Xenopus tropicalis: one gene and its partners. The protein of the gene in region 1 interacts with the protein of each later gene in a pairwise test. Links are inferred from orthologs where the notes say so. Each region holds a gene or a part of one and is shown in the gene's direction. Other genes may lie near its edges.

Region 1 (8,083 bases):
TCATGTGACCTTGCTGGAATCACGTGACCGGGGCAGCTGAGAGAGAGAGAGAGAGGGAGGAGCCGCGGTACCGGGTAACACTGGGGGAACTGGAGGGCACCACGAACCGGAAATACCGGGACCCCGGAGACTATGTAAGGCCCAGGGTATCCCCTGTCCTACCCCCCTGTCCTACCCCCCTGTCCTACCCCCCTGTCCTACCCCCCTGTCCTACCCCCCTGTCCCACCCCCCTGGGGCAATCCCTGTCCTACCCCCCTGTCCTACCCCCCTGTCCTACCCCCCTGTCCTACCCCCCTGGGGCAATCCCTGTCCTACCCCCCTGTCCTACCCCCCTGTCCTACCCCCCTGGGGCAATCCCTGTCCTACCCCCCTGTCCTACCCCCCTGTCCTACCCCCCTGGGGCAATCCCTGTCCTACCCCCCTGTCCCACCCCCCTGTCCCACCCCGGAGACTATGTAAGGCCCAGTGTATCCCCTGTCCCACCCCCTCTGTCCCACCCCCTCTGTCCCACCCCCTCTGTCCCACCCCCTGTCCTACCCCCCTCTGTCCCACCCCCCTGTCCTACCCCTGTCCCACCCCCCCTGTCCTACCCCCCCGTCCCACCCCCCTGTCCTACCCCCCCTGTCCCACCCCCCCTGTCCCACCCCCCCCTGTCCTACCCCCCCCTGTCCTACCCCCCCCTGTTCCACCCCCCTGTCCCACCCCCCTGTCCTACCCCTGTCCCACCCCCCCTGTCCCACCCCCCCTGTCCCACCCCCCCTGTCCCACCCCGGAGACTATGTAAGGCCCAGTGTATCCCCTGTCCCACCCCCTCTGTCCCACCCCCTCTGTCCCACCCCCCTGTCCTACCCCTGTCCCACCCCCCCTGTCCTACCCCCCCGTCCCACCCCCCCTGTCCTACCCCCCCTGTCCTACCCCCCCCTGTTCCACCCCCCTGTCCCACCCCCCTGTCCTACCCCTGTCCCACCCCCCCTGTCCCACCCCCCCTGTCCCACCCCCCCTGTCCCACCCCGGAGACTATGTAAGGCCCAGTGTATCCCCTGTCCCACCCCTCTGTCCCACCCCCTCTGTCCCACCCCCCTGTCCTAACCCCTGTCCCACCCCCCCTGTCCTACCCCCCCCGTCCCACCCCCCCCTGTCCTACCCCCCCCTGTCCTACCCCCCCTGTCCCACCCCCCCTGTTCCACCCCCCTGTCCCACCCCCCTGTCCCACCCCCCTGTCCTACCCCCCCTGTCCTACCCCCCCTGTCCTACCCCCCCCTGTCCTACCCCCCGTCCTACCCCCCGTCCTACCCCCCCGTCCTACCCCCCTGTCCTACCCCCCTGTCCTACCCCCCCTGTCCTACCCCCCCTGTCCTACCCCCCCTGTCCCACCTCCTGTCCTACCCCCCTGTCCTACCCCCTGTCCTACCCCCTGTCCCACCTCCTGTCCTACCCCCTGTCCTACCCCCCCTGTCCTACCCCCCCTGTCCTACCCCCCTGTCCTACCCCCCTGTCCTACCCCCCTGTCCTACCCCCCCGTCCTACCCCCCCGTCCTACCCCCCCGTCCTACCCCCCCGTCCTACCCCCCCTGTCCTACCCCCCCTGTCCTACCCCCCCGTCCTACCCCCCCTGTCCTACCCCCCCTGTCCTACCCCCCTGTCCTACCCCCCTGTCCTACCCCCCCCTGTCCTACCCCCCCTGTCCTACCCCCCCCGTCCTACCCCCCCCCGTCCTACCCCCCCCTGTCCTACCCCCCCTGTCCTACCCCCCCCTGTCCTACCCCCCTGTCCTACCCCCCTGTCCTACCCCCCTGTCCTACCCCCCTTGGGCAATCCCTGTCTGTTACTGTCATTGGTACCTACCCCCACCCCGACAATATCTGCCCGGGGTACCTACCCCCCTAACTATAACTGCCCAGGGTATCTACCCCCCTAACTATAACTGCCCGGGGTACCTACCCCCTAACTATAACTGCCCGGGGTACCTACCCCCTAACTATAACTGCCCAGGGTACCTACCCCCCTAACTATAACTGCCCAGGGTACCCACCCCCCTAACTATAACTGCCCAGGGTACCTACCCCCCTAACTATAACTGCCCAGGGTACCTACCCCCCTAACTATAACTGCCCAGGGTACCTACCCCCCTGCGTGTAATCACTGCCAGTACTAATGAATGGTCTGTGTAATGGCCTGTTACTGTCATTGGTACCTACCCCCCCCCCCCCACCCAAAAAAAAATATCTACCCAGGGTACCTGGGACAGACACAGGGAAAGGGACAGACACAGTGACAGTTACACATAACTATAAACCCAGTGAGAATGAGGAATGAATGGATATTGGGGAGTTGTATCAGGAGTCAGAACCAGCAGTGCAGGGAAGGGAAAGGGACAGACACAGTGACAGTTACACATAACTATAAACCCAGTGAGAATGAGGAATGAATGGATATTGGGGAGTTGTATCAGGAGTCAGAACCAGCAGTGCAGGGAAGGGAAAGGGACAGACACAGTGACAGTTACACATAACTATAAACCCAGTGAGAATGAGGGATGAATGGGTATTGGGGAGTTGTATCAGGAGTCAGAACCAGCAGTGCAGGGAAGGGAAAGGGACAGTGACAGTTACACATAACTATAAACCCAGTGAGAATGAGGGATGAATGGATATTGGGGAGTTGTATCAGGAGTCAGAACCAGCAGTGCAGGGAAGGGAAGGGACAGACACAGTGACAGTTACACATAACTATAAACCCAGTGAGAATGAGGAATGAATGGGTATTGGGGAGTTGTATCAGGAGTCAGAACCAGCAGTGCAGGGAAGGGAAAGGGACAGACACAGTGACAGTTACACATAACTATAAACCCAGTGAGAATGAGGGATGAATGGGTATTGGGGAGTTGTATCAGGAGTCAGAACCAGCAGTGCAGGGAAGGGAAAGGGACAGACACAGTGACAGTTACACATAACTATAAACCCAGTGAGAATGAGGGATGAATGGATATTGGGGAGTTGTATCAGGAGTCAGAACCAGCAGTGCAGGGAAGGGAAAGGGACAGACACAGTGACAGTTACACATAACTATAAACCCAGTGAGAATGAGGAATGAATGGGTATTGGGGAGTTGTATCAGGAGTCAGAACCAGCAGTGCAGGGAAGGGAAAGGGACAGACACAGTGACAGTTACACATAACTATAAACCCAGTGAGAATGAGGAATGAATGGATATTGGGGAGTTGTATCAGGAGTCAGAACCAGCAGTGCAGGGAAGGGAAAGGGACAGACACAGTGGACAGTTACACATAACTATAAACCCAGTGAGAATGAGGAATGAATGGATATTGGGGAGTTGTATCAGGAGTCAGAACCAGCAGTGCAGGGAAGGGAAAGGGACAGACACAGTGACAGTTACACATAACTATAAACCCAGTGAGAATGAGGGATGAATGGATATTGGGGAGTTGTATCAGGAGTCAGAACCAGCAGTGCAGGGAAGGGAAAGGGACAGACACAGTGACAGTTACACATAACTATAAACCCAGTGAGAATGAGGGATGAATGGGTATTGGGGAGTTGTATCAGGAGTCAGAACCAGCAGTGCAGGGAAGGGAAAGGGACAGTGACAGTTACACATAACTATAAACCCAGTGAGAATGAGGGATGAATGGGTATTGGGGAGTTGTATCAGGAGTCAGAACCAGCAGTGCAGGGAAGGGAAAGGGACAGACACAGTGACAGTTACACATAACTATAAACCCAGTGAGAATGAGGAATGAATGGATATTGGGGAGTTGTATCAGGAGTCAGAACCAGCAGTGCAGGGAAGGGAAAGGGACAGACACAGTGACAGTTACACATAACTATAAACCCAGTGAGAATGAGGGATGAATGGGTATTGGGGAGTTGTATCAGGAGTCAGAACCAGCAGTGCAGGGAAGGGAAAGGGACAGACACAGTGACAGTTACACATAACTATAAACCCAGTGAGAATGAGGAATGAATGGATATTGGGGAGTTGTATCAGGAGTCAGAACCAGCAGTGCAGTGAGAATGAGGAATGAATGAATACTGGGAGGTTGCACACAATGACACTCATGCAGGGGTGGGTGCCATTAATACCCCGGGTACCTATTCTGCCCCAGGTAACCTCCCCCTTCCACTTATTGACACCTCTATCACAGCTGTGAGATGTACCTGCCCTTTTTAACTGCCCCAGACACCTTCATCTGTGTTATTGGTGCCGCCTGTATTGTTACTGTGCTCCTGTGGGATTGGCCCCTGTTGGTACCAGTACCAGTGTGTAACAGACTGTGTGTCCCCCCAGGATAACGATGTCTGATGGGATCATGAGCAAAGCTGCCACCATGGAAATTGCCATCAGCAGGAATGGGGTGTCGGGGGCGCTGCACGAGGATGAGAGTCTGGAGCAGGTGGGTCACTATTACTCTGCGTGTAGGTATCATTGGGGGGGTCTTACTCTGCGTGTAGGTATCATTGGGGGGTCTTACTCTGCGTGTAGGTATCATTGGGGGGTCTTACTCTGCGTGTAGGTATCATTGGGGGGTCTTACTCTGCGTGTAGGTATCATTGGGGGGTCTTACTCTGCGTGTAGGTATCATTGGGGGGTCTTACTCTGCGTGTAGGTATCATTGGGGGGTCTTACTCTGCGTGTAGGTATCATTGGGGGGTCTTACTCTGCGTGTAGGTATCATTGGGGGGGTCTTACTCTGCGTGTAGGTATCATTGGGGGGTCTTACTCTGTGTGTAGGTATCATTGGGGGATCTTACTCTGCGTGTAGGTATCATTGGGGGGTCTTACTCTGCGTGTAGGTATCATTGGGTGGGTCATGAGTATATAGGTAGGTTTGGGTATATATGAGTATATAGGTAGGTATGGGCATATATTAGTATATACAGTAGGTAGGTATGGGTATATATGAGTATATAGGTAGGTGTGGGTATATATGAGTATATAGGTAGGTGTGGGTGTACATGAGTATATAGGTGGGTGTGGGTATATATGAGTATATAGGTTGGTGTGGGTATATATGAGTATATAGGTAGGTTTGGGTATATATGAGTATATAGGTAGGTATGGGTATATATGAGTATATAGGTAGGTGTGGGAATATATGAGTATATAGGTAGGTATGGGTATATATGAGTATATAGGTAGGTATGGGTATATATGAGTATATAGGTAGGTGTGGGTATATATGAGTATATAGGTAGGTATGGGTATATATGAGTATATAGGTAGGTTTGGGTATATATGAGTATATAGGTAGGTATGGGTATATATTAGTATATACAGTAGGTAGGTATGGGTATATATGAGTATATGGGTAGGTATGGGTGTATATGAGTATATAGGTAGGTATGGGTATATATGAGTATATAGGTAGGTATGGGTGTATATGAGTATATAGGTAGGTATGGGTGTATATGAGTATATAGGTAGGTATGGGTGTATATGAGTATATAGGTAGGTGTGGGTGTATATGAGTATATAGGTAGGTGTGGGTATATATGAGTATATAGGTAGGTGTGGGTATATATGAGTATATAGGTAGGTATGGGTATATATGAGTATATAGGTAGGTATGGGTATATATGAGTATATAGGTAGGTGTGGGTATATATGAGTATATAGGTAGGTGTGGGTATATATGAGTATATAGGTAGGTATGGGTATATATGAGTATATAGGTAGGTGTGGGAATATATGAGTATATAGGTAGGTATGGGTATATATGAGTATATAGGTAGGTTTGGGTATATATGAGTATATAGGTAGGTATGGGTATATATGAGTATATAGGTAGGTATGGGTATATATTAGTATATACAGTAGGTAGGTATGGGTATATATGAGTATATAGGTAGGTATGGGTGTATATGAGTATATAGGTAGGTATGGGTGTATATGAGTATATAGGTAGGTATGGGTATATATGAGTATATAGGTAGGTATGGGTGTATATGAGTATATAGGTAGGTGTGGGTGTATATGAGTATATAGGTAGGTGTGGGTGTATATGAGTATATAGGTAGGTTTGGGTATATATGAGTATATAGGTAGGTGTGGGTGTATATGAGTATATAGGTAGGTTTGGGTATATATGAGTATATAGGTAGGTATGGGTATATATGAGTATATAGGTAGGTATGGGTATATATGAGTATATAGGTAGGTATGGGTATATATTAGTATATACAGTAGGTAGGTATGGGTATATTTGAGTATATAGATAGGTATGGGTGTATATGAGTATATAGGTAGGTATGGGTGTATATGAGTATATAGGTAGGTGTGGGTATATATGAGTATATAGGTAGGTATGGGTATATATGAGTATATAGGTAGGTATGGGTATATATTAGTATATACAGTAGGTAGGTATGGGTATATTTGAGTATATAGATAGGTATGGGTGTATATGAGTATATAGGTAGGTATGGGTGTATATGAGTATATAGGTAGGTATGGGTATATATGAGTATATAGGTAGGTATGGGTATATATGAGTATATAGGTAGGTATGGGTATATATTAGTATATACAGTAGGTAGGTATGGGTATATTTGAGTATATAGATAGGTATGGGTGTATATGAGTATATAGGTAGGTATGGGTGTATATGAGTATATAGGTAGGTATGGGTGTATATGAGTATATAGGTAGGTATGGGTGTATATGAGTATATAGGTAGGTATGGGTGTATATGAGTATATACAGTGGCTTGCAAAAGTATTCGGCCCCCTTGAACTTTTCCACATTTTGTCACATTACAGCCACAAACATGAATCAATTTTATTGGAATTCCACGGGAAAGCCCAATACAAAGTGGGGTACACGGGAAAGCCCAATACAAAGTGGGGTACACGGGAAAGCCCAATACAAAGTGGGGTACACGGGAAAGCCCAATACAAAGTGGGGTACACGGGAGAGACCAATACAAAGTGGGGTACACGGGAGAGACCAATACAAAGTGGGGTACACGGGAAAGCCCAATACAAAGTGGGGTACACGGGAAAGCCCAATACAAAGTGGGGTACACGGGAGAGACCAATACAAAGTGGGGTACACGGGAAAGCCCAATACAAAGTGGGGTACACGGGAGAGACCAATACAAAGTGGGGTACACGTGAGAAGTGGAAGGAAAATCATACATGATTCCAAACATTTGTTACAAATAAATAAGCGCAAAGTGGGGTGTGCGTAATTATTCAGCCCCCTTGGGTCTGAGTGCAGTCAGTTGCCCATAGACATTGCCTGATGAGTGCTAATGACTAAATAGAGTGCCCCTGTGTGTAATCTAATGTCAGTACAAATACAGCTGCTCTGTGACGGCCTCAGAGGTTGCTAAGGGAATATTGGGAGCAACAACACCATGAAGCCCAAAGAACACACCAGACAGGTCAGGGATAAAGTTATTGAGAAATATAAAGCAGGCTTAGGCTACAAACAGATTCCCAAAGCCTTGAACCTCCCACGGAGCCCTGTTCCACCGATCATTCAGAAATGGCAGGAGTATGGCACAACTGTAACCCTACCCAGGCACGGCCCCCCCCCCTAAACTCACAGGCCCAACAAGCGCTGATCAGAAATGCAGCCAAGGGGCCCATGGTGACTCTGGGGGGGCTGCAGGGATCTACAGCTCAGGGGGGGGAATCTGTCCGACAACTATTAGTCGGGCACTGCACAAAGTTGGCCTTAATGGAAGAGTGGCAAGAAGAAAGCCATTGGTAACAGAAAACCATAAGAAGTCCCGTTTGCAGTTTGCCACAAGCCATGTGGGGGGGGGGGGGGGCAGCAAACATGTGGGAGAAGGGGCTCTGGTCAGATGAGACCAAAATGGAACTTTTTGGCCAAAATGCAAAACGCTATGTGTGGCGGAAAACTAACCCTGCACATCACTCTGAACTCACCATCCCCACTGTCACATATGGGGGGGCAGCATCATGCTCTGGGGGGGCTTCAGCAGGGACAGGGAAGCTGCTCAGAGTTGGTGGGAAGATGGATGGAGCCAAATACAGGGCAATCTTGGAAGAAAACCTCTTGGAGTCTGCAAAAGACTTGAGACTGGGGCGGAGG
Region 2 (8,575 bases), on another chromosome or scaffold:
TCCCGTGTAACTGGAGGAGTCCCAAGCCGGACTTGGATTTCTTACTATTGAGTGCTATTCTGATACCTACTGGGAGCTGCTATCTTGCTCCCTTCCCATTGTTCTGCTGATCGGCTGCTGGGAGGGGGGTGATAGCACTCCAATTTGCAGCTCAGCAGTAAAGTGTCAGTGAAGTTTATCAGAGCACAGGTCACATGGCTGTGGCACCCTGGGAAATGAAGTATATGGCTAGCCCCATGTGAAATTTCAAAATAACATATAAAAAAAGGTATTTTTGAAAAATGGGTAACAATGCAGGATTCTGCTGGAGAAGCTCTATTAACTGATGTGTTTTGAAAAAAAACATGTTTTCCCATGACAGTATTCCTTTAACGCTTTAAGCACTTTAGTCTCACAACTAAATAAGCAGCCAAAGATTTGGCCTGTTAATATGCCATGAGAACTTTAAGTCATAGTCTTTTAGCGTTTCTCCTCGGCAGACATGTCAACTCCCTGATTTAAAAGGCACCTATCAGAAAAAATGATTTCTCCCACCAAAGTCATGGGCTAATATCACCCACACTCCAAATGGGGGAAACAATAATATTTTGTGCAAAAAATGAGTTCCTAATGAGTTAACTAGATGGTTAAACTGCAAAGAAATAGTAATGCAAAGAAATTATTTGTGCACAGTATCGAGCAAGTTGTTAGTGGATGCAGGGATCTGTAGTTCAGCTGCATTAGGATGGTGGAGAAATATCAGGACAGACAAGGCAATAGTCTGCACAAATGAGAAGCATTAAATTGTGCACATCCTTGCTTAAGGTAAGACACGCTAAGATTTGCTTTTTTGTGGGCATAGGAGCAGTCGGACAGAGGGCCGCATAAATGAACTGATGGAAATTTTAGGCCAGATATCGGTTGGGTAGGCCTGTTGGAGGTGCACTTACATGGGCAGTAAGCTGCCGGATCGTTCTGAAGGACCCGATTCAGCAGCTGAGATCTGCCTGTGTATGGCCGCCTTAATTCTTTATAACCATGGAGAAAGGTTCTTTCATCTACACAGGCTCCAGTTCTGCCTGCCCTGATAAATGGCGAGCAAGGCACACTGACTCACGGATACCCTGGAATGAAGACTCCTACAGGTGTTACATTATTGTATCCTTAGCATGTTGTACCTGTAAGCCCTATTTGGCTAGTATAGGGTTGAGAGCATGGGGCACATGCAACTCAATCCTTCAGGATGGGCCTTCACTATGTGGAAGTGACCAACAGAGCTAAGGTGTAGTGCAACTACAACTCACTGTAGCTGTGGGCAGTGCAACGTAACAAGAATGGGCACCAGAAGGTTCTTGCAGTTAAACAATAGAACTGGTTTATTGTCAGAGACAAACAATATGCAGGGTTATAGCAATATACTCACATACAGTTGTTATATGATAGTAATACTGAGGACAGCACAGAGAGGATGCACACCATTTTATCCCAACTCCCCTTGAGTCTGGGCAGGGTAAGGGTAGGGTAGCTCGGGCCCCCTTTAATCAGTTCCGGGCCCTGTCATTGGTGGTCAGCGGGTGATCCTATTGGTCGCGCCCCGTGCGTACATGCACGTCAGTACGCACAGGGCCCAACCTTATAAAAGGGCCTGTCTTCTTTCGGCACTCAGAAATGCAGAGGTGTCGTCCAGGAAGGACCTCGCCGGGGGAGTCCGAAGCCGCTGCTGAAGATGCCGCCGCCGCTGAAGACGCTGGAGGAGACGAACTAGACGCAGAGGGCTGTGCTGTGCTGGCTACCAATGTACTGGGGGGGCACAGCTGGCCACCAATGTACTAGGGGGGGCACTGCTGGCTACCAATGCATTAGGGGGGCCCTGCTGGCTACCAATGTACTAGGGGGGGCACTGCTGGCTACCAGTGTACTAGGGTGGGCACTGCTGGCTACCAATGTACTAGGGGGGGCACTGCTGGCTACCAATGTACTAGGGAGGGCACTGCTGGCTACCAATGTACTAGGGGGGCACTGCTGGCTACCAATGTATTAGGGGGGGCACTGCTGGCTACCAATGTACTGGGGGGGCACTGCTGGCTACCAATGTACTGGGGGGGCACAGCTGGCTACCAATGTACTGGGGGGCACTGCTGGCTACCAATGCATTAGGGGGGCCCTGCTGGCAACCAATGTACTAGGGGGGGCACTGCTGGCTACCAATGTACTGGGGGGGCACTGCTGGCTACCAATGTACTGGGGGGGGCACTGCAGGCTACCAATGTACTGGGGGGCACTGCTGGCTACCAATGCATTAGGGGGGCCCTGCTGGCAACCAATGTACTAGGGGGGGCACTGCTGGCTATCAATGTACTGAGGGGGCACTGTTGGCTACCAATGTACTGGGGGGGCACAGCTGGCTACCAATGTACTGGGGGGGCACAGCTGACTACCAATGTACTAGAGGGGCACTGCTGGCTACCAATGTACTGGGGGGGCACTGCTGGCTACCAATGTACTGGGGGGGCACAGCTGGCTACCAATGTACTGGGGGGGCACAGCTGGCTACCAATGTACTGGGGGGGCACAGCTGGCTACCAATGTACTAGAGGGGCACTGCTGGCTACCAATGTACTAGGGGGGGGCACTGCTGGCTACCAATGTACCATGTCTGTGAGTCCTTTGTACTGGTGGGAGGGGGGCCCAGAAATTTTTGTTGTGAGGGGCCCCGTGATTTCTGATGGTGGCCCTGGGTGTCCGCATTGTTACCTCAGCCAGGTTGTGGCACCTGCTATTAGGCTGGAATTGTAGGAAGGACTTGGCATTGTGGGTAAGAAAAACAGGCTGATGCACTGGGATATTCTGCTGATTTAGGCTCAGTAAGTCCTGTCTGGAATAACTTTGCACTGAGAGGAATATTTCATAAAGAACTAGGGCTCACATTGTGCCACAGTGAAACTACGCAGCTCTTACACAAGTGTATGGGATAGTTTTGGAATTTATCAGAGTGACCCCTCACTTCCACTGATATATATACAGTATATGTCCCTAAGAATCCCTATACAAGTGAATAGAATGCAGTGGGGCTGCACCTAGCATGGATATCACTGGCCCACCTACACTCTTGGTTAAAACATCCTTATACAGACGCTTGAAAAATCTATAAAAATCGTGAGAAAATAAACCCTCGAGTGCACTGGGCACAGCAGGGACTTTCTCTGGTCACGTTTCAGGGTAACTTATATAGGGTACCGGCCCAAGTTCCCATGATATCTATATTTACAACTACATGTTCTCCCCCAAATTCAACCTTTGGCGGGGCTCTCTAAAGTCTGGAAACTGCTGCCCCAAACACAACGCTCGTCCACTAAGCAGAGGCAGATTAGGAGACTGTTCACGCTGTAACTTCCAGGACAATGCCTCTGGTTACGAATGTCCCAGTACGGCTACCGTAGGTTTGTTTGAAACAGCCCGCCCTCTGCTTCCAACCAATCAGTAACTGCAGCGATCTGTGTACCCGGAAGCGCTCACCCTTAGGATCGGGGACTTTAGCGCGCAATGGGGATCACATGACTGTATGTTCCCTACAGTGTCATTTGGGAGTTAGCCCTTAACCTCCCCGCTTTTTCTCGTCTAGGCTGCCTTGCTGGGGAGGTAAGGTCGTCTGCTCTTCCTGTTACTGTGCCGGTCTCACCGCCATACCCGGTCCCTCTACTGACTGACTATGGGACGAGGAAAAGACTTATTTGATGCCTCTATTTTCAAGTGCGGCTTCTTTTTGCTATCAATGGGCGTCGGTGAATTCATATATAGTTGATTTTGTCAGCCTAGTGCCGTCAAAATAATGGAAACTGGACGTTTGTTTATGTTCCATTGGCTTCCAGCACTGGGGAGAAATGATTCCAAAGTTGTTAAATGAGCAGTGGGATATTAAACTTTCATTATCGCAATAGTTCCCCTTTAAACATCTTTTCTGAAGGAGTTTCAGGGTTTTGGGGCTACATGTCCTGCAAACACAAAGGAATGGAAAGGAAAGGACACCAGTCTGGGAATGGGGCTGGGCGAGTTGGGGCTTAGGGAGATGGCAAGTACAGGATCATTCCCTGAGCGCCCATGTATCACTCACAGCGCTGATCCCCCCAGCACAGACTGTAACTTGTGGACAGAATATTTTTACAAAAAATGCATTATCACATTCCTTTTAAAGTCGACAGAATGTAAAGTTATGGTGTGAAATTTGTGTGATATGGTGCCCAATCCTGTATCTTGTGCAAACAAGCCATCGTGCACAACATATGTACAAGCTACATCATGCCAAATAGGACATTTCTTAAATATATTCAATTAAAGATTTTGGAGCTTTTCTGAAATAATCAAGTGACTCTTCACTCCCCCCCTCGTCTCTTCATTCTGTCCTCATGCAGGTGTCAGGAGTCTGATTTTGATTGATAAATCTACTATGTCTTTGGGGTGCGGGCTCCCATTCCTAGCAAATGTGTCACAGCTCACTTAAATAATTGATTCTAGCACAAACAAAATGTAACAAAACTGATTTTGGCACATAGCCTGCACATAAAGGGACAGGATTTCTGGTGATTGTGAGAGAGTGAATTCTAAAACATCCTTTGGGGGGTGTTCCTTTTGCCTAAAAGATGTATTAGGCCTAACTCAATCGAAATAAGACTCTCGACTTTAAGAGATAATGAAAGCAGCCTGTCGCTTTGAAATCTCCAATCCGTATATATATATATATATATATATATATATATATATATATATATAAAATAATAATCATCCGTGACCGGCACACCCTTCAATACTTTATCAAAAATTTATTGAAAACATATTGTTTAAAACCGACGTTTCGGTCCTCATTAGGACCTTTCTCAAGGATCCTTGAGAAAGGTCCTAATGAGGACTGAAACGTCTGTTTTAAACAATATGTTTTCAATAAATTTTTGATAAAGTATTGAAGGGTGTGCCGGCCACGGATGATTATTATTTTCTGTGTAGTTAAATTTTGGCTGTGCACCCCGCAGAATATTGAGCCTTGGAGTGCTATTTGGAGTGCTATTTGGATTGATATATATATATTATATATTTTCTCAGATAAAGTCTGCACACAATACTCTTGCCAACTGAAGGTGCACAATCAAAGCTTTATAGAAGATAAAGGACCAGCACTCCATGCATCATAAATAATAATTGTGCTTTTATACTACAATAGTGCTGAAAATTTTCAGCACAATGGCGGTATAAAAGCACTATGTTCTGGCATCCAATATTTGTGAGTGTGCAAACACTCGACCACCGACCATCCAAGAATCGGGTAAAACTTCTCATTTTATTGGAACTTGATTAAAACAAGCTTGATGCGTTTTGTGTCCTGTACTTAGTCATAACCATAAAACCATTCCAATTGTATATCTTAAGGGAAAAGTGCCGAATGATCACACACCCAGATATACAGATGGAATGGTTTTATGCTTATCACTAAGGGCAAGACACGAGATGCGTCAAGCAGGTTTTAATCAAGTTCCAATAAAATGAGATGTGTTACATGATTCTTGGATGGTCTAGTGTTTGCGCACTCGCAAAGACTGTATATCTCAAGGCTGTGCTTCTATAGTTCTTAAGGGGGAAGATGTTGCAATTAGTTGCCACAACTTTTGAAAAAAGTCACAGCAAATAATCTGCCTGTGATTAGTCGCAGCTACTTATACGCTGCCCATTGCGCGATTAATTGCCACAGCTTACTTTTTTAATAGCCATGGCGACTATTCCCCCATGTGTCTATGCCCTAACAGTATATGTAGCACCAGTGGTACTATTTTTCTTGCTAAAATATTTTCTGTGCCCTCTCTGTGTTTTCTAGTAATAGCCATTTGCAGGCTGTTAAATAAACGGAATGGAAGCTTTGTTACAAGGGATTCAGCAACAAGAGAGAATGGGGTGAGTAACCTAAGTTACAGGTTTGGACAGTGGGATCAATTCTGTTAATCGCCCAGCATGTTTTAGATTTGAGGTGAACATTTATTAGAAGTCAGTAATAATTCTAATACTGTTATTATTACTGATATAATAACATTTGTATTTATCTATACCTTGCTTTAAAATTAAGGAGGACTGGTCAATTAAATGTATGACTGTAAGGGGTGAGTCTGAAAACCAATATATAAACATATTTATTTACATCTGCTGCTTTTTTTATAACTCTGTGTTCATCTTCATTAGGTCTTTGCAAGGCTCCTGTGAGGCTGAGCTGCAGGAACTCATGAGGCAGATAGACATTATGCTGGATCACAAGAGGTCGCAGTGGGAAGCAGAGACTGAAACACTCAAGACCCGTCTAGAGCTGAAAGAGCAGGAGCTGAAATCTTCACTGGACAGAGAAGATCACTTAAACCAGGAGGTAGACCAGTTGAGAAGTTACAGACAGAACCAGCATTGTGGCTTAGGATTAGTGCAGTCTAGTGCACTTATTGTATATTATGCCTTATTTATAAGAATTGGTCACTTTGTTTTCCTGTTTGAAATATAGATATTTCCTCTTCTGCATATTAATCTCTAAGAGGCCCCCAGACATTTCCAAAATGGCGTACAGCTCAGTGTAACTCTCTCAGGTCAATTCTAAGATCTTCTGTTTTGCTTTGTTTCACCCATTCTTCAAGTCACACCTCTTGTAGGAGCACCATTGGTGGATCATTAGCAGATTGATAGGGATTAGCGGCCTATTGTCAGGGGACAAACAGAAACCCTAGAACAATAGCTGCAAAAACCATCATTAACATTTTCATAAACAAGTTTTTACCTCATATTTGCATTATTAAATCTTTATATATAATGGAAGGAACAGTAACGCCTCCCAGGTAATTTTTAATTTTAGCAGCACTTCACTGACACTCCATAAAACTATACATATTTGGCACTGGCATATTCATGAAACATGGCGATTTCTAAATCAGTTGTATTTCCACATATAAAATAAAACTTTGGTATTTAGACCCCTAAATTTTGTTACAGAAGTGGAATTACACAAAAAATTATAAAGTCCAGGTTGTCCTTAAGAAACTGATAGTTTTCATGGGCAAACTATAATTCCCCTTCAGGAAATGCCCCTAAAGTGAAATGACTGGCAAATAAAATGCTACAATTCTGCAGGTAAAATTGTTATTCCAAGGCTTGTGTAGATGTGGGTCTGGGTTTGATGGCACACCAACAGATTTTAAAAGGGCAAAAGACAAATTGTCAGTAAAATTACATCTAAAAGACAAAATCTAAAAAATTTTTACAAAAGTGGAGATAGAGATTTGTGAATAAGGTGGAAAATCCGACAAGTCTATCTGCATTTTTATTTTGTCTCAATATTGCCACTTTTGTGAATTCCCCCTTTTGAGTTTGACCACTCCACAGGATACCCCTCTCTCAGACCTCGGTTATTCCTCCCTCCTGTCTATGACACTCACAGATACATATGTTCCATGAGCATTTAGTACACAACTGTGTTAGTTTGGGATGTACATTATTTATCTTTGAATTATGTGTATTTTTGGGGATAAACTAATCTGATTCCTACAGGTTAGAAGACTGAGACAGCAGCTCATACAGCAGGAAGAAGAGACTCAGAATAAGACTGTACAGTATGAGGCTCAACTGTCAGGCTTTAAGGAGGAGGTGAGCAATACTCTTTAGCCCTGCCTTATCCAACATGTCCTTGCGTGTCATTGGATTTGCTTTCATAACACAGCTGGCCTATCTGCCTTTTATCTCCATACAATCTGTGCCCTCATTAAAGGAGAAGGAAAGGCTAGTAAAGAGTTAATCTCAAGCTGCAGGCATACCTTCTCAGTAGTGCCCTTAAGTCTCCCTATATTTCTCCCGTTCAGAAGATCAGAAGCCAAACAGGAAGAAAAAACGCTGAGCTGTGTAAAGAAAGTTCCCATAATGCCTCACTCCTGCACAGACACCCAGACCAAGTGAACATGCTCAGCTTCCTGCTGATTGGCTCAGATTCACATTCCTAAGGTGGGGAGTGAGTTCTTAGGATTCTTGAGGGAGGGGGGAGCAGGAGAGAGCAGAAAGCTGCATGTCTGTGGCACAGGAATTACAGACACAAGAAATATTTTGACAAAGAAGTCAGTGCAGCGTTTCTGTGAGTGCTTATGGCTGTATTTACATAGACCTTTCTGATAAAGCTTACTTTTACCTTTCTTTCTCTTTTAAAGCAGTATTTTTAGGATCTTAAAATATTTCACTGTTTTGCTCAGTTAAACAGATTAAAAAAAAGTTACGAGAAAGTACAGAAGAAGCACCTGCGATCAGAGATGAAGAATAAAGTAGACGAGGAAAGATCTGAAGTCAGCCGCCTGACGCGGCGGTTAGAGGTATGTATATTTTTATTTATATAATGCTACTTGTGCACACGGCACTGTACTGAACTATACATTCAAGGTAAACCAAAGCTTAAGCAAACAGGTAGGGCAGAAATGTTGTTCATTATGTTTTGTGCTCCTGTACCAGCCAGAGGCAACCACAGCCCTTTAGCAGGGAAGATCTGTGCCCCCAAATATGCCCCAGTAGCCCCCCATCTTCTTTTCTGCTGATTCCCTTA
Region 3 (8,083 bases), about 44 Mb from region 1:
GCTTCCCAACTCTTTAAATTTGAAAGTGGCTAACCAGTAAAATTGTAAGACTATTTCTTACCATTTTAACTAGGTTGTAAGACTAGCTCCTAGCATTTTAAGAAAGCAAAATAATAATACTATAGAAATAACATTTCAGGCCCCAAAACAGATGGCACTTCAGCAAATGAGATGACAGCATGGACACCTTGATTAAGCTTATAGAAAACTGAGTAGAATAAAGGTGTCCATGCTGTGTTGCTTTTCTCTCAATATTATTAGAATTTATTTGTAGTCATCATGCCAATTTAATCTTTAGACAATAGCAGTTTAAAAGCCACCTAGCCCTTAAGGGCTATGTCACACAAGGCTTTATCTATGCCGGCGGAGAAACCGGCAATCTGCTTCCTCGTGCTCCATATCTCTATGCATTGGTGGGAACATCATTGTAATCGGTGGGTTGGATTTTATCAGTGCAGGTTTAAATCCCATTTTTTTCATGCAGTGAGGCTTAAACATTATGTTAGAATGGTACATTTAAAGGCTGATTTAGTTCAGCATTTTTACTTTACCGTAATGCCCCTAATGCATCATCTTTATAACTACATGGGCACTAGAGAGATGGTTGACAGTGTTTGACAGCCTTTCATTTTATGCTATCAGTGTTGCAGTTTATAGAGAGCTCCAGCATAATTACTGCACATAATCTCAAGTTCATATATAGCTTCTCTCTCTTGCATCTACTGATTTATATACATTTTTCTCTATTAACTGCAACTCCAAAGTCAATGACTTATATCACGGCTGCCCAAGGTCTGTGCTGACGACTTTGTATGTCACCATCATTTTAATATAGTTTGATCCTCAGAGGTGGATTGTTGGATGATTGCCCCTCTGCAGCATAGAAAACTAACAGTATATGGGTCACTGTCAGCAATGAGGTTGTATGTTCTCCCTGGGTTTCTTCCCACATCTTAAACATAAAGGTTAATTGGTTCCTGATAAAATTGACTATAGTGGGTGTGTAAATGAGATATGGACCTTCTACTCATAGGCCTATATGGCTACTTTCCTCAGAATTAGATGCACGCACACTGAATGCACTGTATATTACTGTCTTTTGCCCATCATGCTGTTTGATAATTACAGTACAAATGCATGTTGCAGTTATTAGCGTGGGTTCCCTTTATGCTGTCAGCAGCCATAGGGAGAAAACAGGTCCTATCATCTTCCTGTTATCTGTCAGAATAGTGCAGATGGCGATACATGATAATGAACAGAAAAATAAATGACGCAAACTGCTAATGGCATACATTTGTCAGATTTCATCTTAGGCCTGTGGTTCAAAAGCAATTTTTCTGCCAGTGAGATTCATTTCAATGAGAGATGCCTGGCAGCAGTAGATATGTTCTCGTGAGCCTTTCAGGCTGAAAAAGTCCAGAACTGACTGTGCAGCATTTCTTGTTTTAGTAAATGGGCTGCAACAGGGGCAGTTTCAGCTGAAGTACACTGGCAAAGAGCACGCCCTGTGTGGCATTGGCCTTACAGTTTATTTTGTTTAATAGATGAGGCTTATAAAGGCATCACTGGATAAACCTTGCCTGTCTGCACACACTGAATAAATGCTTGTGTTACATTAGCTCAGGCTTATACCCCTTAATCTATTTACTTCAAAATGCTTGGTCCATGTACCAAGCACCAATAAAAGTAAAACTGACTTCACTTAACATAGACCTTTAATACCAGACCTAGTTGTTTGTGACTTAATTTGCATAAAATCCGCATCTCAGTTTCAGCTTGCCCCAGGTAGGCCAATTAATTATTTACAAAGATCGAGCTTGATCCTACTAGTTCCACAACAATAGTAGCAACTTGCATAGAAACAAGCTGTCCTTTTGGGATGTTGGTATATATCATATTTGGTAGTTTGAGCACTACAAACAACAGGTAAGTGTTACCATGCCCCCCACCCCCCCCATGTCAATAGATAATGTGCCCCCACACCACATAAATTGATAAATAATAAAAAGTAAAATTCCATCAATATACATGTGTACTTTCCAAAATAGGGGGTTTTCTTGGGTCCATTCGCTGTTTTTGCCGCTTTTACTACCCATAAAACAGTGCCATGAAAAATGTATGTTCATTTTGGGGTCTCAACATGGTAGAAACAGAAAGGGGGGTAAATGCCATGAATGTGTTGATTTTGCAGTAGCTTAAGTGCTCTCCATGACAATTGTTTTACACTATTTTATGGGGACTCTACCTGCCAAATACTGGCCATAAAAACGTTTAGTGGATCCTGGACAATTATATTTATAATTTTGCTTTCTACTAACTTGGGAGATAAGTTGGTGTAAAATAAAAGTTTTTTCAGATTTAACATCAGAGCTACTAAGTTTGTTTTAACTAATTCATAGGTCTACCAAATACAACGCAAACGCATCCATATTGTAACATAGGTCTGTTGCATTCAGTTGGCAGCTCTTAGGGCAATAAGAGACAGACCCCTATTGTAAAATATAAGGATATTATAAGTCAATGAGGAGTTCCATGACCACATAAAAAAGCACAATGCCAAAGGCCAGATTTATACAGGTTATGGTGACTTCTAATATCCTTATATTTTGCAACAGGGAGGTACTTTATTATTATTCAAAAACATTATTGTTAAAATGTTTGTTTGAGTGCCTTTTTGGGATATGTATGTAAGGGAAAATGATGAATACAGATATACAAGATATGAATTCAGATGTTGTTCTATATGCATTAGAACTGCTTTCGGCATCTGGTGATTTTGTTTGTGCCCAAGCCACCAGAATTAAGCTTGACTTTGGGCTCTGTTCACATGATTTATAACCATGTACTTTTGTTTTATTTTTACTCTTGTTTTATGTTTATTGAGTAACAACATAGTGCCATGTTAGCAGGGCAGAGCTTCCCTACCACAACCCACTTGAATTTAGCTCTGTGCTAAAGCAATTAATATAACCACATTTAAATGCAAAATACCAAACATTTAGTGCCATGGTTTGTTTCCTTGTTTATATATTAAACAATTGTTTGGGTTTACATTGAAAAATCTAAAGGTTGCAATGTTATAATATATCCTTACTTTTTTTCTCTATTTTATACTTCTTCTTTATACACCATCTGTCAGAGAGTTTGTAAGCCTGGCTTTTATTATTAGAAGTGGCCACAAAAGCATCTTAGGAAAATACCATGGGAAACATCTTTGGGAACCTTTTGAAGAGCCTGATTGGGAAGAAGGAAATGCGAATACTCATGGTGGGACTTGATGCTGCAGGAAAGACAACTATCTTGTACAAACTTAAGCTTGGAGAAATTGTGACTACTATACCCACCATAGGTAAATGCCTGAGGAAAAAGTGCACATAATTGGGTTCAGCAGTGTATTGTGTTTTTTATTGTTAGTGGGGAGTATTAACATCTTCATACAGTTATTGCTCATAGCTGTGGCAACATCTTTTGTTGAGTTAAATTGCCCGAAATAGGCCAACATGGGCCAAGGCACCAGGGCAAGACCCTGGCTTGTAGCCTCTGGACATTATAGCCACGTCTACCTTGTTAATTATTTCACAAGGAAATGTGACCTCCCTTTATACAGATATTGTTACTATTTTGTTATGGGTTTTCTTTGGAAAATTAATCTTAATGTTTGCTTCCTATTTCTTTCTTTATAACAGGCTTTAATGTGGAGACTGTGGAGTACAAGAATATCAGCTTCACAGTGTGGGATGTGGGCGGCCAAGACAAGATCCGCCCACTTTGGAGGCATTACTTCCAGAACACTCAGGGTGAGTGTGTATCCTTGCTTATGTGTTTTTTATGGGATTCCAGGTAGCACAGTCCCATGGGGCTCAGTTATTGTTGGGGTCCTGAAAAATAACACCTACAGTAGTCATTTTCAGTATGGAATGGGAGGTCCAAACTGTTGCAAATTGTATGGTCCCCACTGGATAAAAGTGAGTTTCTAATAGCTGCTTGGGTGTTACCTGTAGGCAGTATTCCTTGGCATAGGAAAATTTGTCCCATTGGCTTCACATTTTAAACAACTTTGTATTAGTTTCTGTTGTACTTTGCTTTGGGTGGTAAAGCAGTGTATAGTCAGAGATCCAGATCCTCTCTGGTTCAAAGCTGAATTCATGGAACTCAAACTTTATGATGTTTGGTGAAACCAAAGGGACTGAGTACAGCCAACAGTTATTACAGGTGGTTGATAAGATCAAATCATTTGATTAAAATAGTTTAGTAACAGTGTTCATATCCAGGCCATCATGCACTATGCCAGGACAGTTCTTTTATGTACTGAGCAAGCCTTGATAAATCCCCTCCACACACACAATTTGCCTTTCTAAGATGTAATTAATGATACACTTATGTAATGAAAATTGCACCAAGCAGGGGCTTTCAACAAAAATAAGAAAGGGACATTTGGCTGGGATCTCCTAATTCAGCTAAAAAGATCCAAATTTAAATTTCAGTCCTTTTTTGTATTTTATGTCTGAATTTATTGCTGTGGCTATGATTCAGTAATGTCTTCTGATTTTAATTGGCAAATTACAAGCTGTTCATATAAATATGTTGACTTATTGCTGGAAAATAAATTTAATTGAAAGCACTTTATTACAGTGACCTTCTCTTTTTTGTCTCTTTCCTCCCTATCCCTTTCCTCTTCTTTCATTTTTTTTTCTCAATTTTTTTTCTCAAGGAGCCGAGCCAGTTCATGTTGCTTATTTTACAGCTGTTTGCATATAAATTAAATAGAATCAGTCATCTGTCAATATAATGCCTCATTGTTTTTTCAGGGTTAATATTTGTGGTGGACAGCAATGATCGAGAACGAGTGAATGAGGCCCGTGAAGAACTGATGAGGATGCTGGCAGAGGATGAGTTGAGGGATGCAGTGTTGCTTGTTTTTGCTAACAAACAGGTTTGTGGTTCTTTGCTTAGCTAAATGGTATACTGTATGACATGCAAGCTTTATGGGCAAGTAGATTTATTCATGTTGGCACCATGACATTATTTATTTACATTTATATATTTGTCTGTGGTAGTAACATTGGCTGGGCTTATAGCACTTGCACGTTTCCTTTGCCAGTGCTATTGTTATTCTCTGCTTGCTATGTAACATAAACTTGACCGTCCATAATTACTTGCAGGATCTGCCAAATGCTATGAATGCTGCAGAGATAACAGACAAGCTGGGCCTGCATTCTCTCCGCCACCGCAACTGGTACATCCAAGCAACTTGCGCCACCAGTGGCGATGGCCTGTATGAAGGGCTGGACTGGCTAGCCAACCAACTGAAGAACAAGAAGTGAAGGTGCCAGTCCCATTTTGTCTCCAGCGTGCGCCTGACTCTTCCTCCCACATCCTTACTGTGCTTCCCCAGCCAAACCAGGTTGGGGTTGGCTCCTGGTACAGACCACACAATCCCTCCTGCTTCTCTTGGTTCCACATTTGCTTTCGTTGCCGTTTTGGTTTGGGGTGTTTTAATCGGGTGCCGTGTTTCTCCTGGTTCATCAAGCTGCTGTTACTTGCTGTTTTCTTTGTTCTTTGAAGATATTGGTTGGGAGTGGACAAGTGAGTCTTGGCAGTACATGCCTGAGTATTCTGCCCCCTGTAGACAGGGTTGGTTAGAGGGAAGGAATGGGAGCAGTGCTGTTTTGTGTTTATGTTGTGTGGAAGCTCCCTTTGCACATGATTGTGGGAATGTTTTTGGCTTCTTGTATTTGGTTTTAAATTATTTCCGTTTCAGTACTTCATCCAAGATGGTTTAAATAGTTAAACAAGGATCATATTATATTTTATTCTATTGGGAAAGGATACAATAAGCTTGGGTTCTAATATCATTTCAGAGGGTTGTGTTTTGGTGCAGCAGAGCAGTTTTAATAGATGACCAAACCTCTGGGAAGCAAAAAGAGAAATTGAAGGTGCAATAAAGAAGTTAGAAAGGCAATATATTCTTTTAGCTAGAGAAGTGTAGGCAGGCTTCCCACCGGGAGAGGCACTCCTTGCTTGTACGTTTCACAACACTTTATTGCTTTGTCAGTGAGAAGTTTCTTCTGTGAGGCAATGCTGTATTGTGCAACAGTGATGGAGGGAGGAACCCTCCCAGCAGCAAGGGTGCTTATACTTTGGTACTTTATAATATACAAAATATTTATTTTCCCTGTGGCACTTGTGTCTCTCCAGTAGTAAAGTATTAACTTGAAATAGTTCTTTAGCATTGACCTGGTTTTGTCATTCCAGTTTAAAGGAACAGTCCTCCTGCATGCATCAACTGTAGCAGTTACTTATTTCCTTGAGTAAATAAGATTTAAACTTGGTTAATTAGCTGTGTTATATTTACAATACAAGACACTGATAGGTTGGGAGGGCAAGGTAGAGAACCACAAATAGTTAAGTTGGCCGTACATGGGCAGATTTAAGGTTCTCCAGACTGATTTGGCAGCTTTTCTGCCCATGGAAGGGAACCCCCGGCAGGCCTACCTGACCAATATGTGGTAAAAATCGGGCAGATTTCTGTCGGACAGGTTTGATTTTTTTCCGTCGGATTGGGGACTGCATCGGCTCATTATTGTGGTCCTTGTTCTGACAGCTGCTATTCCTGTCATTGTAATTTGATCATTTGGCCCTATGGCCACTTAGGTGGGCATATCAAGGGAAAGTATAGTATGTAGTATAGTTTATAGCGTATGACCACCTTTAGTAGCCTGCAGACTGTCATCTGCTACTCCCCTTCCTTATCCTAGACACAAAGTGTTTAATTTGAGGAAAAGTGAGTTATTCTGCAGCAGAAAGAGTTGACACAATTTTACAACTGCCGTTATAACAATGCAAATATTAATATATTAGTGGTATTCTAGCCATAGCACATTGCTCTGTCTAACAAAATGTATAAAAACCAAGCATCAAAAATAAGCTAAATAAATGATAAAACACTGGATAACAAGTATATTTGGTATTAAACTGAAACTATTGTTACAGTTATCAAGCTAAAATGAGCTAAATGTACACTCACATTGCAGGCTCAGGTCACTAAATTAATCATTTGACATTAGCATGTCCAGCCTGTGACCTTTCTTTTGTTGTTGGGCTATAACTCAGTGTATAGTTAATGAGGGGTCCTGGGAGTTATTTGCAGGCCCTCGGGATGAGCTGCAGTTTTTGATCAGTTTGAGCATAGGACAGGCTTAGGAAGCATTAGCAATAAAACTAGTTTCTTGTCGATAGTCAAAAGTATTGTATTATTGCACTCCTGCCCTTTTCTCTCAAAGTCCCACACACTGTGGTACGTGCATGCTTTATACTCTCCCTTAAGGGTGGAAAGGCGCCCAAACATCAGCAGTAGGTTAATGCTGAAAAATGCAGGAAAGATCATTATTATAATGTGTACGGCCACCTTTAGTTTAGTTACATGTGATGCTAGTACATTCGCAATGTGCCTCCTGTTGTACTAGCTCTCTCTGTCTCAGCTACATGTGTATAAAGCTGAGGGACAGAAGTAGAGTTCAGCCAAGTGAGATCAGATATACTAAGGCTACTGGTACACTGGCAGGACATTTTGCCATGGGACAAAACAGCTGAAGTTTCCTTCCCAGCGAGACAACTTTGGGCTACTGTGCGGCAAGTGTTTTCCCACCAGACAAAATGTTCTGTGTGCTAGTACTCTAACTACATACTAATGTACAATGGCTTTTACCAGGGTTATTTAAAGGAGAAGGAAAGGCTAAATCACTAGGGGGTGCCAAATGTTAGGCACCTTCCAGTGATTGTAATCACTTACCTGAATCCTCCAGTTGGTGCTCCTGTTAGGAGAAAACTGCACCGGCCTGGGGTAAATGCAGACGAGTGATACTCTTTCTTCCTTCTCCTTTCGCAGTGATCCCGGGCCCTACACTGGTCCAGATTGAGATTATGTGATCGTTTGGCCCCTGTCAACAAACACATTGTAATAGTGGCCTAGGGAGGCCTTCTGGGAGAGGATTAGAGCAATATGCTGATGTGGTCCTTACTTGATTTTTAGCTCCATTTCTGTTGTAAGGAGCCCATACAAGGGACAATAAGCTGCTGATTT
Region 4 (7,547 bases), on another chromosome or scaffold:
CCCTCTAAGGGATTTATATGACCCCAACCTATACTCTCTGACAACTCTTTTTTACATTGTTGGTTGGATTTGCTTCCATTGATAATAGTCAGGTGTTGTACTGTGTTAGTCATTGAAAAATGCAGCAAATATAAGGGGATTACCTTTTATTGGCTAACTGATTAAGTAATAATTGCAAGCTCTCGAGATGATGACAGTTCCAGAACATCTTTAAAGGGCATCTATCACCCTAAATAGCTTGACAAGGGCAGCGTCAAATTTGCGGCACTTATAACAACCTTTCACTCTTAACCTTTGTACCCTTTTGATCCCTCTTGGAACACACTCACACAACAACCCTTTTGTGGGTAGAAAAGGCCGCAGCCCGTTTATTTGCAGCATTATAAAATTTGCCATTATTACACATAACCCCATTTAACAATAACATATTAATGTAATTAAATAACATATCTTAATCTCTTGATAACACAATAACAATAAGAAGGCTGCTTTGTGGAAGCTGTACCTGCCCCCACCGCCATCAGTTCCTTGAGTTTAAAAACCCCCTTTCTCTAACCCCCACAGCCCCATTTACCACCGACCTATGGCTGTAATCCCTATACTCAGGCCTAACCTTCTGTCTACCTCTCCTTTGTCTGTTGAATCCTCGGCTGCGACTATGGTCTTGTTCCTCACATCTCCCTTTCTACCCTCTTTTTTCTTCTCAAATAAGGGAGGGAGGGTGGGAGCTTGTTCTCTCAAAATGGCCACTTTCCCCTATGCTCCTCCCCACTTGTCTCCTTCTTTCTTCACTCCAGCCAATCCCCTTCAGGACTACAATACCCATACTTCCTATCACCAAACACTTTCCCTGGGCCTATTTCCTATCCTTGTCATGGCCCCGTACCCTCAACTCCTGCCTCATTCTATTCCGGGCCCCCCTTCCCTACCAGAGGTGTGGGCTAATAGAGCCTGCAGTACTGTCAGGGGGGGAAACAATAGTTTATTTATATAAAAAACAGCCCTTGTTGGCGCTAGGCCACCCCTACACTGAGAAGGAGCTCCCAGTGTGGGCAGCCATGTTATTTTGCGAGGCTCCTTGCTCATTCATTATGAGCGTGATGTAGGAGCAGTGGATACAACTCCCTCGCATATGTTACACACATGCGCATAATGAATGAGATGTGGCACTTGCTCGTTATGTGCATACGAGTGCCCTAACATGGCTGCCCGAACCTGGAGTTCCCTCTTGGTGCGGACAGCCTATACTGTAGGGGGCTATATTTTGTAAAAAAGACTATTATTGCCCCAACTGGAGTGTGGGCTCTATTAGCCTGCAGCTCTGGTAGGGGAAGCAATTTTAGGGTGATCAGCCTGAAGAAGAGATGTAACACTATAATCTCTAAAGCATGAAGTGCTATTACTGGAAAATACTATTGTGGTGTAAGAACAGGTTATTAACAAACTTGCAGGAAAGGTTTCCTTCGGCAGCTATGCCTATAGATTATTATTATTATTATTGGCTTTGTTCAGTAGGGAACACCCACAGCCCAGAGAATTCCATGTCTTCAGGAACTCTGGTGGTTCCTTGTACATGGATTATTCTTCTAAATGACCAGAATGATTAGACAGCCTAATATTTCCTAGTATTTCCATTAGGTTTATTAGCCTTTTAAAGAAAGAAACGTAGACAAGCACAGCTTTAGAAGCAAGACCAGAAGATATTGTTTTGGAAATAGGTTTGGGAGCGAAGGTTCCTACTGTAGTGTCCTCTCCAACCCATACCCTGCAGGCTGATAGAAAAATGGGAGAAACCCATTTCAATTAAAGGTTAACTATACCCCTTAACCATGTAGTTCTCGATAAACATATATTGCATTAAACAGCTCATATGCTTCATCTAGATTGACCATTACCATAAAAATATACTTTTTTAGTAATATGTGCCATTGGGTAATCCTAAATAGGAAATACCAAGGGCCGCCCCCTGGGATGTTATGATTTACAGTGCACACAAACAAGCCAAGGCACACATACATGCTAGGCCCCATCAGCCAATGAATGGACAGAGTTCTGCCTTTTGCTCCGACACTACTTCCTGTTACAGTTAGAGCTGCATCACTTCCTGTCAGCTGATCTCTGAGGGAGCACACAGCCCATCACAAAATGGTGGCTCAAGGGAAAGGATGTAAAAGGGTAATACTGATATATATATTCCAGTTTGGCGAGATTCTTTAATAGGTCACTTAATATAATATAAACTATCTGTTGGTTAGGTACTCATTCTGGGGGTATAGTTTTCCTTTAAATGTTCAATATTTTGTTAATGGATCCTGAAGGGCCCCTCTCTGAGTGCTGCCACTGCTCCGGTGTTGCAATCTCTTTCCTTCTACCCAGTGTAAACATTACATAATGACTTGCTTATCTGTGGCAGAAACAGTTATCGCGCTTCCCTGATCATATCTATTAATAAGACTGGGCCGGTTTGTAGAGAAATGCATCAGTTGGTGTTACAGTCATGTGCATTCTTAGTTTCCAGGGTGGAGAGATGAATTAAGTATGTTAAAGGTCTCCGTGAATGTGTCCCACACTTATTTTTACATAAACTACTGTACCACAACATTTTTTTTTTAATGCTGTATCACAGGGATCCCCAACCGGAGGACCTGGAAGAAACTTTGCCCTGTAGGGATTTTAGTGCTGCACTATACTGCACTAGAGGTTTATATACCACTGAACATATCAACCATACAGATCTTTGTGCTTCTAAAGGAACATGGGGAGGCAGTGACACGTGTAGAGGCCAATAAGACGACAGTCATACTGTTTGTGACTCATCCATTCAACCCATTGGCTGATTGGCTGATACCTGATCAGCCTGTACATGGCCACCGTAAGACGTGTGTTTGTGCCCTCAAATTTTGAGGCCAGCAAACACCTTGAATTATACTACATACAAGGAATATTGTGTAAATACACATAATTCACTACATTTTATGACCAACCCTCAACTTTTTGCACACAGGGTAGCGAGAGGCTTGGAGGCATGCAAATAATATTACACCAGGGGGTTACTCCAGTACAGCTGGATAGTAAGAGATAAAACTTCATTCAGTAGTTGCCAGGGAAATTAGTTTAGCAAATCCACAGTCAAGGGTTCAAGCCCAACCATGAGCAGTGCAGGTAAGTCAATGTAACCTGAACAGAACCTTTGTCCCTTGCTCAGTAAAAGTTTCTAGAACTCATGGGAGTAAATAATAGTCAGATGAAGTGCTGAAAACTCATTTTTTCTCAAGGTGAGAAGGAAGATGGACTCTAACAAAAGGCGCCTTGGTTTGTTTTCCAGGACCTCGCTTACCACTTGACCGCATTTGTATTCTATTTTGGAGCCTTCGTCCTTGAAGCTGCAGTGACCTCTCTAGCAAATCTGATGCGGAAGGAAAACTCGACTGTCATACACCTTGATAATCGCATGCTTGGGCTGAACGTGGCTGCCACGGTATGTACCTATAATCTGCGTAGTATTTCATGCATAATGGATCTCGCCTGGATAATGAATGGTAACCGAGGCCCCGCCTATCTCTATCAGTTCTGGTACAGGTATAGGACCCGTTATCCCGAATGCTTGGGACCCAGTTTTCCGGATAAGGGGTCTTTCCGTAATTTGGATCTCCATACCTTAAGTTTACAAAAAATCAATAAAACATTAATTAAACCCAATAGGACTGTTCTGCCCCCAATAAGGGGTAATTATATCTTAGTTGGGATCAAGTACAGGTACTGTTTTATTATTACAGAGAAAAGGGAATCATTTAACCATTAAATAAACCCAATAGGGCTGTTCTGCCCCAATAAGGGGTAATTATATCTTAGTTGGGATCAAATACAGGTACTGTTTTATTATTACAGAGAAAAGGGAATCATTTAACCATTAAATAAACCCAATAGGGCTGTTTTGCCCCCAATAAGGGGTAATTATATCTTAGTTGGGATCAAGTACAGGTACTGTTTTATTATTACAGAGAAAAGGGAATCATTTAACCATTAAATAAACCCAATAGGGCTGTTCTGCCCCCAATAAGGGGTAATTATATCTTAGTTGGGATCAAGTACAGGTACTGTTTTATTATTACAGAGAAAAGGGAAATCAGTTTTAAAATTCTGAATTATTTGATTAAAATGGAGTCTATGGGAGACAGGCTTTCCGTAATTCGGAGCTTTCTGGATAACGGGATTCCGGATATTCTCTTTCCTGCTATGTTTATTTCTCATGTATTCTGCCTAAAACTTACATTATGATGAAAAAGCTGCTTCCTCGCACACCTGTGTTGTCTAACTGGCCCTTTAAAGGAAATTATATATACATATTACATACTCTTCCTTAAACATTATGACATGGCTGCATCCCTACACACCCCTGTTGCCTAATTGGCACTTTAATAGAAACTATATATGCATATTACTTACATCTTCCTTAAACATATATTATGACATAGCTGCATCCCTTCACACCCCATCTTGGCCAACTGGTCCTGTAAATGAAACCATATATAGTGAACAATGTACCCCCTGTTGTGAAATATAAGACTATTATAAGTCACATTATGAGTCCCTTGACCATATAAAGGCAAAAAAATGGAACAGGCTGAACTAAGGGTAGGCAGAAGACATGCCTAGTGCAGAATGGTGGGGGGCTCATACCTCTTCTGCCTGCATTCTACTAGTTTTGGACCTTCTGTAATGGTGGCAGCAGGCTATCAGTTCTCCTCAATTCTAAAGGGGAGCAGTGTGATTGTCACGCTCCACGGGTGGTGGGGCATTGTCTTGGGCGCTCGTTTGACTTGTGGCCCAGCGCTGATGGATGACGTCACTAAGCACTGTTTATAACTTCTAGAACATTCATGGCTTCATATTACTGTTTCTTCCTTAGATTAAATTATGATGATATAGCTATAAGGTCCTCTAGTTGTAGGTCTTAAAACAATTATACCTCTCCCCTGCCAGATCCCATTTTCTGTTCAGATGAATATCAAGAGGGGACTTCTCAGGAAACCCTCATGTAGGCATCCCAGCATGATCCCCCACTGATATCACCAGTATCACCTTCTACTGTATTTGATATTTTTCACCACTGTGGTGAACCATGACGGTCAAATCATCTGGTCATAGAGCAACAGGTTACTCTCAATACAGTGAAGTTAGCTGCCAGACTTACATAAACAATCTACTATGCAATGGTATCATTTCTTAATATATCCTTATGTTTTATACTTTTTCCCTCTGGTTATTATCTAATAAAGTTACTCTGCAAATAGGTGCAAAGTCTTTCTCTGTTCAGTTATGCTGCAATGGAATGCGGGTGAAGTGTGCTTTAGATAAGCTGATACCATGTCATGTTCTTACTATGCGAATGCCAAGTATTGAAACAATCCTTTTATTGCTGTAATTAAATAACTCTGTCAAATGCACATTATATTGCTCTATAAACGTAAGGCAGTTCTAGTTATTCTTTAAAGCCAAGGGCAACTGAAGGGTCAGAATTTGAGCAAGACCAACATAAACCATCCCAGTTATCATCTTGCTCTGCGGCACCTTCTATTTCAGCCTACAGCTGCTCTTCTGCAGGTTCCCACCTTTATTGAGGAGATTGTGTGAGAAAGCCAAGGGCTCAGACTGAGCAGTAATTGTGTGTCTCCCAGTGGGAATCTGGGACAGAAACTGTATCCAGGAGAAAAAGGTGCAGTTATCGTTATCCAGGAAACCCGAGTTCCTTGACGTTTGTGTACAATGGTTGCTGGGGCAGCACCAAGCTGTGTTGCTTCTCTTTTGTTCCCTTCTGCACTGACAGATAATGGTTAAATATATTAGCAGTTTCAAAACTAAAAATAAGTTACCCTTATATTTATTTTTGTACATTTCCAAGACTATTTTATATGCAACAATAAACCAATAAACCATCTTATGCCTCTGATGATCATTCTAGAAGACACAAGGGCAAGTAAGTAAGGAGATAATTTGAGAGTGTGAAGAGGGTTTCTTTTACAGTGGATATACTGGCAGAGACATTAGATAGCTTTAAGAAAGCATTAGATGTCTTATAGCAAGTGAAAAGCTACCAATATTAATACATCCAGGTCCTGGCTTCCTTCTGAAGCACAGACAGCATTAATAGACATTATCCGGTATTTGTCTCTTTGTGCAATCATAGGCATTGAGCTGGACAGAAAATGGGATCAGATGACCCCATATATATCAGATTTATGAGAAATCTGGACCTTTATAGAGCTGTCTACTGTGTAGTACAAGCCTGTACTTATAATGTGTATAACCTGTATTATGGGGGGTGGGGTTTGATCACATCATTTGTGAACCTAATGCAAGAGGGGGGTTGAGGTTGTTGCATGAGTTTCCTCATCTCTAGTTCAATAAGAGCATCCATGACTTGTGCTCTATCCCATTTCTTCTTCTCTCCTACCCCCTAACTTAATTACTTAAGTTATTCTCCCCCACCCCTGCATTCATCCTATCTTCTAAAATGTAATTGTCTCCAAAAAGTGAATATTATTTTTCAGTATGTCTTTCCTTTGCTCTTGGCATTATTTTATTCTCCTAAACTCCCATGTCTATGAGGGCAAACACACTTATTGTGATTTTTTTTCCCCCCCACAGATATTTGCTTTTACGGTTACCGTTTGTTATGGCTGCAGCATGGTCCTAGGTTTTCGGCGATGGAGGTCTTAAGCCGCTAGAAGACCAGGCAGACACCTTATCTGAAACTGGTGCAAGTTAATGGATGTTAAGAGAAAGAACTGTAATCTAGAACGTTTCAACGAAGAGATCAGTCAAGGAAGACTTACTGGAAGAATGAGATCCAGATATCAGCAGAAGGAGAAACAAAGAGAAAGCCTCCTTCTAACATTCAATGTGCATGGATTTGCGGCTGTAAGATCCTGCTGCAATATTCAAGTAAAAAAACAGACCAACAAGAAGCCTGGTTTAAGCATTTATATCTGGTTAAGCAGCAATGACAATATTATACAAGGCCTTCAGCACAGTCTAGAGGTCTTAAATTATTTAAAATCATCATAATATCAATTTTGGGACCTACAACCAAACAGCCATGAAGAAGATATTGCAATAATTCTAAGGTTTGCAATGTTTGCCAAAGAAATACTATTATGCGCCATCACCGCCCTGCTATTTGTTATACTGAAGCTACAGCCAATAATAAGAAGACTAAAGTACACAGAAGAATGTGTTCCAATATTGCCGGCTAAAAATTTGTCTTAGGGGCATTCTGGATATTTTGTTGCCCGGGCAATTTCTGAGCTGGAGAGCAGGCAACAACAATCTCAGAATCACTCCCCATTCACTAAGATGGCAATCAGTTGGACTCAAAGGAACCTCAAGTCACAGATTTTGCCAAACTGAAGAACAGGAGGGTGAGGGGTGTAGATGGTTGGTCAGAGGTTTTCACAAAAAAAGGCTTGGATTGGAAGAATTCAGATGGGTTCATAGCTATCCAGCATTAAATTTAGTGCTATATTTCATGGGAACAATAGGTCAGG

What was found.
Region 2: the proteins of arfip2 (region 1) and cep63 interact in binary tests that used the Homo sapiens proteins (3 or more experiments, as listed by UniProt). The link is inferred for Xenopus tropicalis from reciprocal best matches to the Homo sapiens genes ARFIP2 and CEP63.
Region 3: the proteins of arfip2 (region 1) and arf3 interact in a two-hybrid assay, tested with the Homo sapiens proteins (2 studies listed by BioGRID and IntAct). The link is inferred for Xenopus tropicalis from reciprocal best matches to the Homo sapiens genes ARFIP2 and ARF3.
Region 4: the proteins of arfip2 (region 1) and mal2 interact in binary tests that used the Homo sapiens proteins (3 or more experiments, as listed by UniProt). The two-hybrid records come from large-scale screens. The link is inferred for Xenopus tropicalis from reciprocal best matches to the Homo sapiens genes ARFIP2 and MAL2.

What each region holds. Positions count from the first base shown.
Region 1 is NC_030678.2:180,353,974-180,362,056, reverse strand, and holds the start of arfip2 (arfaptin-2), read left to right. Parts: upstream 1-32; 5' UTR 33-132; coding exon 133-134; intron 135-4,309; coding exon 4,310-4,415; intron 4,416-8,083. UniProt on the Homo sapiens protein: Plays a role in constitutive metalloproteinase (MMP) secretion from the trans Golgi network. May have important functions during vesicle biogenesis at certain cargo subdomains, which could be predominantly utilized by secreted MMPs, such as MMP7 and MMP2.
Region 2 is NC_030681.2:130,320,080-130,328,654, forward strand, and holds the start of cep63 (centrosomal protein of 63 kDa), read left to right. Parts: upstream 1-3,446; 5' UTR 3,447-3,729; intron 3,730-5,839; 5' UTR 5,840-5,872; coding exon 5,873-5,916; intron 5,917-6,198; coding exon 6,199-6,376; intron 6,377-7,542; coding exon 7,543-7,638; intron 7,639-8,231; coding exon 8,232-8,348; intron 8,349-8,575. UniProt on the Homo sapiens protein: Required for normal spindle assembly.
Region 3 is NC_030678.2:136,298,203-136,306,285, forward strand, and holds part of arf3 (ADP-ribosylation factor 3), read left to right. Parts: intron 1-3,139; 5' UTR 3,140-3,201; coding exon 3,202-3,349; intron 3,350-3,686; coding exon 3,687-3,797; intron 3,798-4,808; coding exon 4,809-4,933; intron 4,934-5,162; coding exon 5,163-5,324; 3' UTR 5,325-8,083.
Region 4 is NC_030682.2:137,860,659-137,868,205, forward strand, and holds part of mal2 (protein MAL2), read left to right. Parts: intron 1-3,325; coding exon 3,326-3,478; intron 3,479-6,648; coding exon 6,649-6,720; 3' UTR 6,721-7,547. UniProt on the Homo sapiens protein: Member of the machinery of polarized transport. Required for the indirect transcytotic route at the step of the egress of the transcytosing cargo from perinuclear endosomes in order for it to travel to the apical surface via a raft-dependent pathway.